Linked DNA regions of Sus scrofa. The protein of the gene in region 1 purifies or fractionates together with the protein of each later gene. This does not show direct contact. Links are inferred from orthologs where the notes say so. Each region holds a gene or a part of one and is shown on either strand. Other genes may lie near its edges.

Evidence for each region. Proteins that work in one complex are often made in the same cells at the same time.
Region 2: the proteins of SMAD1 (region 1) and SKI purify together in Homo sapiens (affinity purification with western blotting, with the first as the bait; 3 studies listed by BioGRID). This does not show direct contact. The link is inferred for Sus scrofa from reciprocal best matches to the Homo sapiens genes SMAD1 and SKI.

What each region holds. Positions count from the first base shown.
Region 1 is NC_010450.4:82,924,175-82,931,063, forward strand, and holds part of SMAD1 (mothers against decapentaplegic homolog 1), read right to left. Parts: intron 2,990-6,889; coding exon 2,732-2,989; intron 1-2,731. UniProt on the Homo sapiens protein: Transcriptional modulator that plays a role in various cellular processes, including embryonic development, cell differentiation, and tissue homeostasis.
Region 2 is NC_010448.4:64,185,299-64,192,883, reverse strand, and holds the start of SKI (ski oncogene), read right to left. Parts: upstream 4,620-7,585; 5' UTR 4,572-4,619; coding exon 3,603-4,571; intron 1-3,602. UniProt on the Homo sapiens protein: May play a role in terminal differentiation of skeletal muscle cells but not in the determination of cells to the myogenic lineage. Functions as a repressor of TGF-beta signaling.

The DNA of each region.
Region 1 (6,889 bases):
GTCAGATTTGTTTCCGATGCACCACGATGGGAACTCCTCCTTTCTTCCTTCCTTCCGTCTTCCTTCCTTCTTCCTTCCTTCCTTCCTTCCTTCCTTCCTTCCTTCCTTTCCTTCTTTCTTTCCTCTCTCTCTCTTTCTTTTTCTTAATGGCTGCGCTCACAGCAGATGGAAGTTGCTGGGCTAGTGGGTGGAATCAGAGCTGCAGCTGCTGGTCTACACCACAGCCAAAGCAACATCAGATCCTTAACCCACTGAGCAAGGCCAGGGAATTGAACCTGAGTCTTCATGGATCTTAGTCGGGTTCTTTAACCGCAGAACCACAGCAGGAACTCCAACACTGAGATTTTTGAAACAGAACATGGGCACAAGTCTTGTGCTTTCTTAAATAAAATCAAGGGTGTGGCTTTCCCACAAACAAGCCTGTGTGATGGAAAAACGAGTTCCCCACGGGCTACAGTGAGCCCACTTAGGACCCCAGCACAGATGACAGCCAGAAACAAAGTATCAGGCCAAGGAAGCACCAAGAGCTTGGCTCTCAGGCCAACCATCGCATACTAAAAGCTAATGCTGCTCTTTTCAGTTTCTCAGCCATTTCCCAGACTGACTCTCACAGAGTCCCAGTTCCATGGTCCAGGTGCTAACAAGCCAGGCCTCAGGGCACAAAGGCAGACCATGGGGACCCCATCAGGATACCTTTTCTACCCTTTCTCCAGCTTTTTAACCAGCGTGCTTCCCTGCAGCTGCAACCCTGCCTCTGCTTTCCTTCCAGCCAGGCAGGGAGACAAAGAGCCTCCCTTGAGACCAAGTTCAACACGTTTCTGCAAACAAGCTGGTGAAAATTTCATCAACAGCCTACAGCATCAGCATCACTGGGAGGGGCTGGACACTGTGGGTGGGGCTCTGGTGTCCTCACGAGGCCCTCCTGGCACCCCTGCAGCTTTCTCCTTATTTCCGCTACTTGGCCTGGGCCCTAATCCCCGACAGCCGGGGAACAAAGTGTAAATTCTGGCAATAATCTTCAATTTGTTTCACTCTTGAGCCCACCCTGGGTCTGCCACTGCTCCAAACCTTCCAAAACCGTCTCCCTGCCACCAACCTGTTCATCAAACCCAACGGGTGCGGAAGGGAGTCGGGCAGAGGAAACCAGCAAATGATACTAGTTTGGTTTTTAAACTAATCTCTCTCCCATCTCGTCTTAAACAGTTTTCAGTTGAAAAAAATAAACAGAACAAGGCAAAATAAAGAGGCTTAAAATGTAAAACAGCAGTAAATAAATACATAAAAGATAGGAGGATTCCCTGTTGTGGCTCAGTGGGTTACAAACCCAGCTAATATCCATGAGGACAGGGGTTTGATCCCTGGCCTCGCTCAGTAGGTTAAGGATCCAGTGTTGCTGTGGTGTAGGCCAGCAGCTGCAGCTCCAATTTGACCCCTAGCCTAGGCACTTCCATGTGCTGCAGGTGTGGCCCTGAAAAGCACCCCCCCAAAAAAAGGGATAGGAATAACAAGTATGAACGACTTTTCAATCTTTTTTTTTTCCTTTTTCTTTTTTAGGGCCGCACCTGTGGAATGTGGAAGTTCCCAGGCTAGGAGCAGAATCAGGGCTACAGCTGAGGCCTATACCACAGCCATGGCAAAACTGGATCCAAGCTGCATCTGCGACCTACATGGCAGCAGATGGATCCTTAACACACTGGGTGAGGCCAGGGATCGAACCAGCATCCTCATGGACACTATGTCAGGTTCTTACTCTGTTGAGCTGCAATGAGAACGACCACTTTTCAATTTTTGAGGACACACCAACTTTGCTGTTGAATTCCAGTTTGCTTAAAAACATTTTAAGTGGCACAATAAATATGCCTGCCCACTCATTTCCCCCCTACCCCCTTTTTCTGGCCGTGCCTGCAGCATTTGGAAGTTCTTGGGCCTGAGATCGAACCCGTACCACAGCAGTGATCCCTAACGCCAGATCCTTAATCAAGAGGCCACCAGGGAGCTCCTCGTTTTCCCTTCTTGAAATGTTAACAGATGTCAAGTATGTCTTTGTTTAGATTATCCATTGTGAGGTCTACTGGCAAGAAACTTGGCACTAATCGTTTTTTGTTCTGAGGTGCTTACTTATTAACCTCTAACTTGAAAAATATAGTGTCCTAATTAATCACTTAATTTGACAAACATTACACCACCAGAGAAGTCTAAAAAAGAAGGATGATGATTTTCTTGCCTTTGCTAAATTAAACAAGCAGATGGTTTCCAGTACCTCTGCTGCAAATCCTTTGTTGTTAAAGCATAGGTTAAAGTTTCTCAGGATTACTTCACCACTGAAATGAATTTAATTAAGTAGGGGGGTGGGATCCCCCAGGAAATAGCTTTTTTGAGGATGCACTCATGAAAGGGTTTTTCCCTCCCATGAAAACAGCAAATGTGTGCAGGGCACTATTTTTTTCCTCTCTCTCTTTCATCAAGAGCAAAAGCTGTAACAACTATGCCACTCCCAGAAGGATGCAGCTGTTTCAAAACCTTTCAAAATTAAAAATGAAAATATATTCAAGCATCTGTGCCGGACAAATGAAACACTGGCTTAGTTGGCCCCCTTTCATTCAAAGTCGTATCCTGAGTTTCAGAGCCCAGGGCCACGTACCAAGGCTGGCAAGCCCTCTCCATTCCAGGCACCCCTGCTTCTCCTCGACGCTGTGCTGACCCCAGAATGTCACCGAACATTCCCACCTACCTGGCATCTGAAAGGGGCTTCCTGGGTCTGAGCTGGTCGGAGAGTGAGGGTAGGTGCTACTGCTGCTTCCAGGAGAGTTTGGGTAGCTGCTGTTGGGAGAATGAGGAAACGGATGGCTGTTGGGTTGCTGGAAAGAATCCGGGAAAGTGGCATTGAGTGGCATGTGAGGCTCATTTTGTCCTAAGTTACGGAACTGAGCTAAGAGGCTGTGCTGAGGGTTATATTCGCTGTGTCTCGGAACCAGGACTGGAGGAAGAACTGGGAAAAAAGGGAAAGAGAAACAAGAGGGACAAAGATGAGCATGATGAACATCTCTAACAACATCACAGTCAAGCTGAGACAGAATCTGGAAGTAACAACAAGTTACGTGAACTCTGGTCTGCTGCCAACTCAAAAGCACCATTCGAATGAAAAGTCATTTTTTTCACTCGGGAACAAATGCAGCAAAAACTAGTCTCCTTGGGATCACAGCTGGTGGATGCGCGACCTGCAGTGTGCACAAACTGCCCAGGGCGAGTCTGTGACATTTATTCTTTTAGGTTAAAAGCGTGAAGATTACCCGATTCTTAATTTTTTCATTCACTGAAAACCAAAGCACAGCTAAGAGCAGACATCACCATTGACAATTCCAGTTCATATTCTTGGCTAATAAGATTCTACCTTTAAGAGTTAATAATATTTATTGAATGATAAGAATTATTCTCCACCAGTGTTTCAAACGGACACATTAACTCGCTTTAAACCAAAGGAAGTGTAGTAAATAAAGCTGAGAGGGTAAATGCAGCAAGCAGGATAAAATCCAAATGCCAATGAAGAGAGATGATCAGACAAAATACGATGTTTTGTGGGGCAGATTTTATGTTATGTCCTAGCATTCATACCTTATGAACATGTTCTCTTTTAGGGTTTTTTTTTTTTTTTTTAGGGCCACAGCCATGGCATATGAAGGTTCCCAGGCTAGGGGTTGAATCAGAGCTACAGCTGCCGGCCACAGCCACAGCCACAGCCACACGGGATGTGAGCTGCATCTGCAACCTACACCACAGCTCATGGCAACGCCAGATCCTTAACCCACTGAGCATGGCCAGGGATCGAACTTGCATCCTCATGGATCCTAGTTGGAATCGTTAACTGCTGAGCCATGAAGAAAACTTCCTCTTTAAGGATCTTAATGTATTTACCCACTTCTCAGTAATCCTTATCACTACCTGATAGGCAAAGGAAGAAACAGGTCATACAACCCACATTTTGCTACCTGAATACCCAAGGTATAAAGGTCCCCAAATGTACACACTGGAAGAGAAGGAAATAAAGCAAGCCATTCTTAAAAGCTCTGCATGTTAGGAACCTAGGAATTAGCAGCTCGCTGGTCCCCAACCCCCAGAAACCTCAGGAGGCAGAGCCACTACAAAGGCAATGATCAAGGAAGGGAAGGGTTGGTAGGGGTTAGTGCCTCAGCCTCTGGCCAGGGTCACCAGGCGGCCCCTCCCAATAATAAAGGTCCTTGGAATGCCTACTGCCCTTATGACCTTGGCAGAAAGAGAAAAACAACTCGTTTGGTAAACAGCATGGGAAGAGATTTAAAATCTGTGATTGTTGTTGGGAGTTACGGACTCAATGTATTTTCCAAAAGAAACCCGTATTTAGTGGCATTAGGAACTAAGTAGATTTTTGAGGGCTTTCCAGGGAATCTATCCATGACTTAGATAATTTCTACAGCAAAAAGTGCTCCTAACACTTGGATTATCACTAATTCATGAGCAGAAAATTGTATAAGTAAAAATGGGTTTTTGAAGGTATTAAAATTTCTCACATGCTGTATCTTAAATCTCCCCAAATCCTGTAGCAATAAGATTTCCCTACTATTTGATCCCTTAGAAACAAATCTTTTCCGTATAAGTGTATTTCATTTCTCACACAGTGATGGAAATCTGTCCAAATCGTCATCAAAAGTATAATTTCTCCCTGTAATGGACAAGAATCTGAAAAAGCATACACACATATCTGTCTATCTATATCTGAGACACTTAGCTGTACACCTGAAACTTAACAGAACATGGTAAATCAACTATACTTCAATTAAAAAAAAAAAAGAAAACCCTAAGGGAATAAAGGCATAATTCCTCCTTATACACTTGTTTTGTTGATGAAAGAGTTCCCAATAGTCACAAAGTTTCCCCAACACCATAGAACTCTATATTCCAAAAATAAACACATGCTCTGAAATAGTACAGTATCTTTAAATTACCTCCGTAATCAAACGTTCTCTTTTTCTTTCTGTTGTCGCAGCCTGTTACCACTTCCAGCTTGCCTTTTATGGTCAGCTAGCTCTAGCCCCCATTCTGACCCGCACCTTTAAAAGGCCGAAAACAGAGGCCTCTAGACCCCGCCCACCAACTGCAGCGCCAGACAGCAACTCAAGTCAACTCTCCATCTCCCCCCCCACCCCACCCCCGCTACGACCCCCTTACTGAAGCCCCTGTTTTAGTAATTCCTACTGCCCAAGAGAGTTTTCAAAATGGGAATTTACTTCCTTTCCTTGCCTGCAGATGACAGCGGCAGCAGGGGGCAGTGTATTTCTGCACACTCCGCACATGTGTTCCCGGGTAACTGCTGTGGTGTGCAGTGGTCTGGCTCTAAAGCACAGGGCTGCCCTTAGTGTACACTCTGGGGGAGCTCAGTCAGCTTTTGTACATGACCCGGGAAGTTAGCCACCAACTCCAACAACTTAGCCCTCTATACCGGAGCCGGACAAGAGCAATACCTTTTTGCTCACCTCTGCTGATTAATATGAGATGATTCTGCCACTGCTGATATAGGGACAGGCATATTTTAATGAACTTCAACAAGGTATTGAGGGGAGATGCTCTGTGGCTCAGTGGGTTAAGGACCCAGCGTTGTCACTACTGTGGCTTGGGTTCGATCCCTGGCCCAGAAAATTCCACATGCCATGGGCACTTCCTAATTTGTCTTTTGACTTTGCTTATGTGCAAATTTATTTTTTTTTGATAGTCAAGTTTATCAATATTTTCTTTTATTGAATATGGATTGAGTCCTAGAAAGTCGTCTTCTACACCCAGACTGTAAGGAGGAATTCACCCATGCATTCTTCCAGTACATATAAAGTTTCATATTTTATTTAAATCTTGGATCCTTTTGGAGTTCAGCTTACTCACAGTATTAGGAATAGATCTAGGAGTTCCCATCGTGGTGCAGCGGAAACGACTCTGACTAGGAACCATGAAGTTGCAGGTTTGATCCCTAGCCTCAATCAGTGGGTTAAGGATCAGGCGTTGTGAGCTGTGGTGTAGGTCGCAGACTTGGCTCAGATCTGGCGTTGCTGTGGCTGTGGTGTAGGCCGGAGGCTATAGCTCTGATTAGACCCCTAGCCTGGGAACCTCCATATGCTGCGGGGGTGGCCCTAAAAAGCAAAAAAAAAAAAGGAATAGGTCTATTTTTATCTTTTTCTAAATGGTCAGCCAGTTGCCCTAATACCACTTATTAAAAAACCATTTCTGTCCTAGTGACTGGAGATACCATCTTTCTCACAAATCTCCATATATGTCTGGGTCTATCTGTAGATATTCCATCCCATTCCATTCTAGTCTGTGCCTCAGGATGACTGTTTTCATGATAGAGACTGTGTGGTGTTAACATCTGTAGAGCTAGTCTCCTCTCCCAGTTCTTCCTTTTTAATATTTCGCTCATGGGCTTACTTTTCCATATGAACTTTAGTTATCACCTTGTCAACCTCCAGACAAAAAAAAAAAAAAAAAAAAAAAAAAGATTATAGGTACTTATTTAATTGGGATCCCATTTTATTTATACATTAACTTGGTAAGAATTACTTGATTATGTTAAAATATGCTATTCAAGAACCAGGTAGGTATGTTCAAATCTGTTTCTGCATCTTTCAAGATTGTTCCACAGCTACTCTATTAGTCTGGTAGGCCTGCCCATAACAAAATACCACAGATGGGGTAGTTTAGACAACAAAAATTTATTTACTCAAAGTTCTAGAGGCAAAAGTCTGAGGTTTCTCCTGAGGCCTCTCTTCTTGGCTTGCAGATGGCCACTTTCTCGCTGTGTCTTCTCATAGCTTATTTTCCTGGTGATTCTCTGCATGTCCTAATCTCCTCTTCTTGGAAGGACACCCAT
Region 2 (7,585 bases), on another chromosome or scaffold:
CACCGCACACACACGGGAGGCGGCTCGGCCGACCACAGGGCGTGGGGCTGAAACCGTTCAGGAGCCTCGCCTCAGGGCATCCCTTGAGACGGCACCCACCTTCCCAACCAGGAAGTCGTCGCGGAACCCCTCAGAGACCCAAAGCACAGCAAGTGGCCCGAGAGGCAGCTGACTTCCCTCCACACCCGGCCCGACCCCAGGGCACCTGGGCACACGGCCCCCTCGCCCCCGCTGTTTAAGAGGGGGCACCCGAAGCATGTTGGCCCGAGTCCCTTCCAGCCTCTGGGCGCTCCCGATGCCACGCCTCCCCGGGGTCGGTTCAGCTTGAACACGCGACACGAACAGGCCAGGGCCCCCCCCAAAGCCGCAGCCACTCCCCACAAGATGCACGACACGGGCCTCTGCGCGCACAGCCGCGCCAGTCTCTGCTCTGAGGGAGCCCCGCTCTCCCTACAGGGCCGTCGTGGAAGCTCAGGCTGCACCCCTCGGGGGCCGTCAGCCAAGCAGCCCCAGGCAGACAGCAGGGGCAGTTCTACGACAAAGCCTCCCCGGAGAGCCCAGCGTTGGAAGGACGGGGGACAACGCGCGGCCACACGGTCTCCGCTCTGAGAACTGGGACCTCTGTGCCCCCAGAGGCCGCGGTCAGCAGCCAGCAGGACGGAGGGAGCTGGCGGCACCAACGCCCCCCAAACCGACAGCACTCCCCACGGTCAAGTGCAAAGGGCCTCAGCCGTGCAAAGAGCTCGTGGACAGAAGAGAAGGGGAGACGGTGCGGGAAAGGCCCCGGCCCCTCACCCCGCATCCCCGCCCCGCCTGGCGGCACTCGCCACCGGAACACCCCAAAACCGTCGGCAGCGGCCGCCACCTACCACAGCCCCCCTTTCCCACGTGAGAACACCGAGGCACAAAGAGATCAAGCCAGTGCCTCGAGGTCAGGGAGCCCGCGAGGCTGAGGGCAAGGCGCAGAGTGTCGCTGAGGACGGCCCCGCCTGCACGCAGGGGTTCCGGGCTCGAGGCTGGAGACCCATCCCTGCCCCCGGCCCTCGCTGGGGCGACCACAGGGACAGCCACCCCGCCGTGGTCAGGCCGCAGGCAGCGCAGAGCAAGCCTCGGTCGGGCCTCAGAGCCACGGGGCTCACGCCGCTGCTGATGGCAGAGGAGTCCCGGCCGGCAGGAGACCCGGGCCACCCCGAGGCCCCCAACACCGGGACCCCGAGGCCCGGCGAGCCGTGTCCCTGCTGAGAGAGGGCCCAGAACAGTCTTGGTTCCCTTCGGGCCTCGTTCTCAGTGGGACAAACATATTTAAATAAGCCAGAAAAGAGGCGGAAAAAAGTCAAAACAGACTCCATGAAGACCCGGGCGCGAGGAGCGGGCGGAGCGGGGCCCGAGCAGGCACTGGGAGGGAGGGTCTGTCTAGGCTGCTGCCTCCAGAACAACCCTGAGGCTGAGACCCCCGCCTCCTCCCGGGTGTCGCTGGCGGGTAGACAGGCAAGGGCACGGCCGGGCGCACCCCAAAGGGACCAGGCACCCCAGAATTCCCGGCTGCTCAGCCACAGGGCCAGGGCGGCGGGTCCCAAGACGGGGGGCGGGGGGGGGGAGCCAGGGAGCGGCCGGCCAGCAGCCGGGGCCTGGAGGAGGCCCGCGACCCTGGTCACCAAGGGCGGGGTGACACTGAGACCCGGAGACTCCAACCCCTTCCGATGACCCTGTCTTCATCGTCACCCGTGGCGTTTTTCTAAGCAGGAAACGAGGTTTCCGAGCAGCACTGCGGAGAGCAGCGGAGGAGGACGGGGCGCTGACCATCTGTTGAAATCACCAGCATGCTCCGGCCTCCCCTCCAGGCCACCAGCTTGGGCCAGGCCTTCCCTGAGCCTGCGGACACCAGGGCCCGGAAGGGCCTTCAGCGATGACAAAAAGCAGACCCCAGCAAGACAGTCCCAACCACCCAGGACCCAGACCAGGACCCAGACGGGCACACACCCTGCCGCAGTCCCAACCACCCGTGGACCCTCTGCTGTCCACTCTGGAGCAGAGGAACCCGCCACAGCCTTGCCCACCACAGGCTTAACCAGCCCGCCAGAACCCACCAGCGCCGGCAAGATGGCTGTCGAGGGAGCGGGCACCCCAGGCCCCGGGGAGCACCCATCACGCCACCCACAGCCAACAGCAGCCTGCACGACGGGCCTGGCCAGCCTGCTGAGATCTGCCGGCAGCCGTTCCCATGGGCACCCTCCCCCACCGAGCTGCCCACCCAGACCGGCTCCCCCACCCCGTGCCAACTCCACAGCCTGCAGACAGCTGCCACCTGGGCGCTGGCCTAGCCAAGGGCAGCACCACCACCAGATACACGGACGCACACGCGGTGGCCCCTCTGAGCGCGGGCAGCAGGCCCTTATTCCCTCCCCTCCTCCGCTCCCTGAGACTCTGACACTCCGCTGGAGAGGCGCCCAGAGAGAACTGGGGGGAGCATCTATTCACAGATTTGGAAAAAAAAAAGTTTGATGCAATAGCTGAATTAATTAGGCCTCCCAAGAATAGCTGAGCCAGTGCAGCATTCTGTGTGTGCAATTTAATAAGCCTGCATATTTCAAAGAAAAGTTGCAAATACTTGGGGCGGGGGGAAGACGCCATGAAAAGTTGGTGTCGACCCTGATGGAGGGCTGGGGCGCCTGGTGGCCCGGGAGCAGCCAGGCCGGATCACACAGACCCCCAGCCTGGCAAACAACAGCGCCTCGGCCAGCGGCCTCCCTGCTGCACCCTTCGGCGTTTCAGCGAGAAGGAAACAAGGAGATAAGGACATGTCCAAAACGAATCACAGGCCGGCGGCTACCCTGACACCCGGGGCCCTGGGTGCCCGCTGACCAGTCCCCAAGCCCTGTGCCAAGCAGCCCTCGCCCCCACACGGGGGACTCCACAATTCACTGCCTGCCAGGCCAGGGCAGACACAGAGAGCTGGAGTCGCCAAGTCTCGGCCCCCTGCCACCAGGGCCTGGACACCTGGCTTGGGCTTTGAGTCTGTCTCCCGAGACTTCAAGGCACAAACAGGCCCCGCCTGGCCAAGTTCTGCCTGCTGGGAAGTGCCAGGCACCCCGTGTGCGAGCCTGGGAGCTTGGGGGCCAGGGCAGTCCCCCTCGCGCATGGGGGCTGGACACTTGCTTTGGGCCCGAGGAAGGACTGGACTTGGAGCTCCAGCTTGGGCCCAGCCAGAACCACTTTCCCGGGGACTCGGGACAGAGAGTCCAAGGTCTGCAGCCTGCCCCTCCCGGCTGTCTGGGCAATGACCGTGGGCCTCAGCAAGGCTTCGCCCACCAAGCCTGCCCCAGGCTCCCCAGGGCTCCCAACCAGGCCAGCCTGGCTCAGGCTGGGAGTCAGACAGGAGGCTCTTCCTCCCGGGCTACCTGGCCCTCTAGGGGGACAAGGACACTCCCCTGCCCCCCCACCCCAGTCTCCTTAAAACAAAACAAAACAAAACACCGAGACGTGTGGAGGCGGAGGAAGCACAGGTCGCACCGCGCGCCCCAGCCCCTGCCCACAGCCACCACCCCCCCCCCACCGCCGCCGCCCCCCCCCAGGCGCGCCGCCGCCGCTCGCAGGACACTCACCCGGGGCGCCCGCCTCTTGTACTTGTTGCCGTAGTCGAACTTCTCCTTGACGTCGTCCAGGCATCTGCCGAGGCGCGCCTGCTCCTCCTTGCCGGTGTAGTCCTGGCTCAGCAGGATGTAGGCCCGCCAGTTGGCCGAGTCGAAGCCCCAGTGGCAGGTCCGGTTCTCCAGGGCCTTGTGCGAGTGCACCACGAACTTATGCGGTGGGTACAGGAGAGAGCAGTCCAGGCACTGGATGCAGGCGGCGCTCGGGCTGCTGTACAGCTCGGGGACCAGCAGTCCCTTGCACTTGCCGAAGCACTCGTGGTACACGCGCACGCTGCGCTCGCTGCGCTCCAGGCCCAGCGCCAGGCTGGCGGCCAGCTCCTGCTTGCAGGGCGGCGGGTAGGCGCCGCCGTAGAGCAGCGCGTTGCACAGGCGCTCGGCGTCCGTCTTGGTGATGAGCCCGCACGAGGGCGCCGAGAAGGGCAGGATGCCCATGACTTTGAGGATCTCCAGCTGGTCGGCCGTGCAGCGCGAGCAGTAGATGTGCAGCTCGTCGCACACCGAGTTGATCTGCTGCAGCGAGAAGTCGCGCAGCACCGAGTTGAGGATCTGCGGCAGACACAGGCGCTTCTCGCCGCCCACCACGAAGCACGAGATGGTCTCGCCCTCCAGCACGGTCTCGCAGCGCTCCGTGGAGCGGTCGGACGGCATGAAGAAGGGCCCGGGCAGCACGGGCGGCGGCGGCTGGATGGCGGGCAGGTGCAGCACCGGCGGAGGCTCGGCGGCCGCGGGCACCGGCGCCGGCACCGCGGCCGCGCCCGCCTCCTTGGCGCTCTCCTTCTTGTAGGCCTCCTGCGCCCAGCGCGCCGAGAAGGCGGCCGGGCCGCCCAGCGAGCTCATGGAGCTCAGGTGGAACTGCTCCAGCGTCTTCTGCAGCCCCGGGTGCGGCTGAAAGCCGCCCCGGCCGCCCGCCGCCGCCTCCATGGTGCGCTCCGGCTCCCCAGGCCGCTCCCGCTCCCGCGCGCCCGGGCCCCCGCGGCCCCCGCCGCCGCCGCCCCGCGCGCCCCGGCGGCGCCCCCGGCCCCGGCCCCGGCCGCCCCCCGCCACCGGCTCCCGGCCGATCACGGCCGCGGCCTCGGCCTCGCCCGGGGGCGCGAAGGGGAAGGCGGGCGGGGCGAAGGGGTCCCGCCGCTGCAGCCCGCCGCCGCCCGGGCCCGGCGCCACATCCACGCGCCCCGCGCCGCGCCCGCCGCCGCCCGGGCCCCCGCGCGCCCCCCGCGCGCCCCCCGGGCCCTAGGCGCGGGGCATGCCCCAGCGCGCGCCGCCAACGCCAACGCCAACGCTCGCGGGCCCGGGGCTCGCGGGGGGCGCGCGGGCAGGTGCCGGCGCCGCGAGGCGCGAATCGCCGCGGCGGCCGAGGCCGAGGGGCCCGGGAGGAGCGGGGGCGCGGGCGCGGGGCCCGCCGGGCCGTCCTCGCGCGGCGCGCCGCCGCCGCCGCCCCGCTCCTCCCACCGCGCGGCGCCCGCCCGGCTCGTCCCGGCGGCGCTGGCCGGCCGCGTCGCGCCCGCCGCCGGCCTCCCGGCCCGGCCCGCGCCCACCCCGCCGCCCGCGCCCGGCTCCGCGGCCTGCCCGCCCGCCCGCGCGCGCGCGCGCGCGGCTTCCGGGGCGGCGGAGCGCCTGTGGCGGCGGCCTCAGACCGCGGCGGCGGCGGCGGCGCGGAGATCGGCGCACATCCTCCCGGCGGCTCGCTCCAGCTCGGACTGAGCGCCGGGCGCTGAGCTCACGCCGCCGCCCCGCCCCGCGCCCCGCCCCGCGCCGCGCCGCCGCCCCGCCCCGCGCGTCGTCTGGGGCCGCGCGTCCGCCTCAGCCGAGCGCCGGCCTGGAATGCGCCGGCCCCCCGACCCGGCTCTTCCAGGAACGCGCGCTCCCCCCGCCCACGCCCGGCGCTCGGCCGCGCTCGGCCGCGCTCGGGCCCGTCCGCCCGGGACTCGGCTCCGCTCGGCCCAGCCCGCCGGGGACTCGGGTCTGCTCGGCTCCGCTCGGCTCCGCTCGGCCGCAGCCGCCAGGGGTTCAGCGCTGTTCGGCGCCGATCGGCCCCACCCGCCGGAAGGCGGCTCCGCGGGGGCGACGGCGGCGCCCCAGGCCCCTCATCCGGCGGAGGCCGCTTCCTGCGCGGCCGCGAAGGCCCCCGGCCCGCCGCCCCGTCGCCACCAGAGCCCAGAAACCCACACGGGGCCCCCACCACAACCGCAGACCAGCTGAGGAGCGGACAGGACGGGCCGCGCGTCCTCCATCAACGCCGCGGTCCCCACGCACACGATGGGGACACCAGGCAAAATGATCCAAGTCGCACATAGTACAGGGACACCAAGCAACACGATGTGGGTTAGGAGTGCAGCACCCCGGAGACACACACCCCCCCCGCAGGAGACAGACCCCGTGCAGCCTGTCCTGGGGACCGACCGCCAAGGCATGACTGCTGGCAGGAAGGGCCACGCTGTGACCCCGCACCCGGGTCTCCCCACACAGCCAGCAGCCGCACCTCCTGCCAGCTCCAGTGCAGGACTGCTGCGCCACAGGACAGGGCTTGCCTCTGGGGGCTGTGTCCGCGTGGTCCTCCCAGGTCGCTGCGCAGCGCGTGTCCTCAGTACAGACTGGCCCTGCCCTAACCCCGCAGCGCCCAGGCCCAGAGAGCCATTTATACATCTGCAGGGCACCTAGGCCGAGACCCCACTGCCGTCCTTCCACACACTGGCTGTACTAGGGCAAGGGGCCAACCAGAAGGCGCCGGGTGGAACAGGCTGGAGGGGGGGCGCCCCCAGAGGAGGCAGCATCCAGCAGAGGCCTGGGGGCAGGGCACTCGGGGTCAGGAGGTAGGTTTAGGCTGTGCTCAACCTGAGGGCAGAAGGACACTCCAGCCCAACCCGGCAGTGGCACCTTTTCCTCCACGGGATGAGAGCACCCAAACTGGCCTGGGCACTGGGGGGCACATGGGGCACAGTGGGTGAGAAGGCCGCACCCACTTCAGCCTGTCACCTGCTGTTCCTGACTCCCCAGGGGAAGCTGGAGCTGGCCCCAACCCAGCTCTGCTCTGGGGGAGTGTCTGCTCCGGGCAGCCGACCGGGCATCTCCGCAGGCCTCAGTCACCTCTCGGGCACGGCCACGTGTCTGGATAGGCAGCTAGGATGGGCCGGTGACCCCACACCTGTACACCTGCAGACCCAGGCAGGCTCTGGGGCCCTTGAGATTCAGGGCGCAGTGCCCCACGTTTGAGGACCTGACTGCTCCCTGCCCGCCCTCACCTATGTCCTGGGGACTGTCCTTTCCACTGCTCACTCCAGTGCCCCAACACGAGAAAACTGGGGAAGGGGTGTTTTAAAAAACAAGAAAAAGGACTTCTCTACTTTCGGAGGCTGTTTTCTTGGCCACTGTACAGGCCAAAAATGTTTCTTTTGCACCTGGCTCGGTTCCTTCCACGTGGACCTGACTCCCATACTGCTCAGACAACCTGTAATCGGAAGAAGCTGGTTGGAGCACCAGAGGGCTGGAGGGAGGGTTTCCAGCCAAGCACACAATTCCTCCTGCTCTTTTGACCCGATGGGCACTCCCAGGAGGGCCCTGAGTCTGAGCCCCCCAGATGGGCAGTGGTTGGCTCACCGTGCTCCACCGGCCCCCAGCCCCGGCTTTGCTGGGCCCTGGGAAGGGGCCTTGGGCACGGGCCGACACTCCCAGAGCTTCAGAACCCAGACTGAAGCTGAATTGGGGTGCAGTGGGTGCAGCAGGGGACAGGTGAGGGGTGAAGGGCCTTGAGAAGCAGGGAGCACCCAAACTCATCTCTACGACTTCTCTGTCTCCGTAGACTCTGAGGTCTTCTTCCCCCAAAGATGCTGGAGTTTCCAGAGCAACAGAGCCCACCCCTTCCAGCAAGGGCCAGCCGTGCACAGAGTCAGCCAGGCCCTGTCTTCCCCGTGAGCGCAGCTGGAGGGGCTCCCACCTGC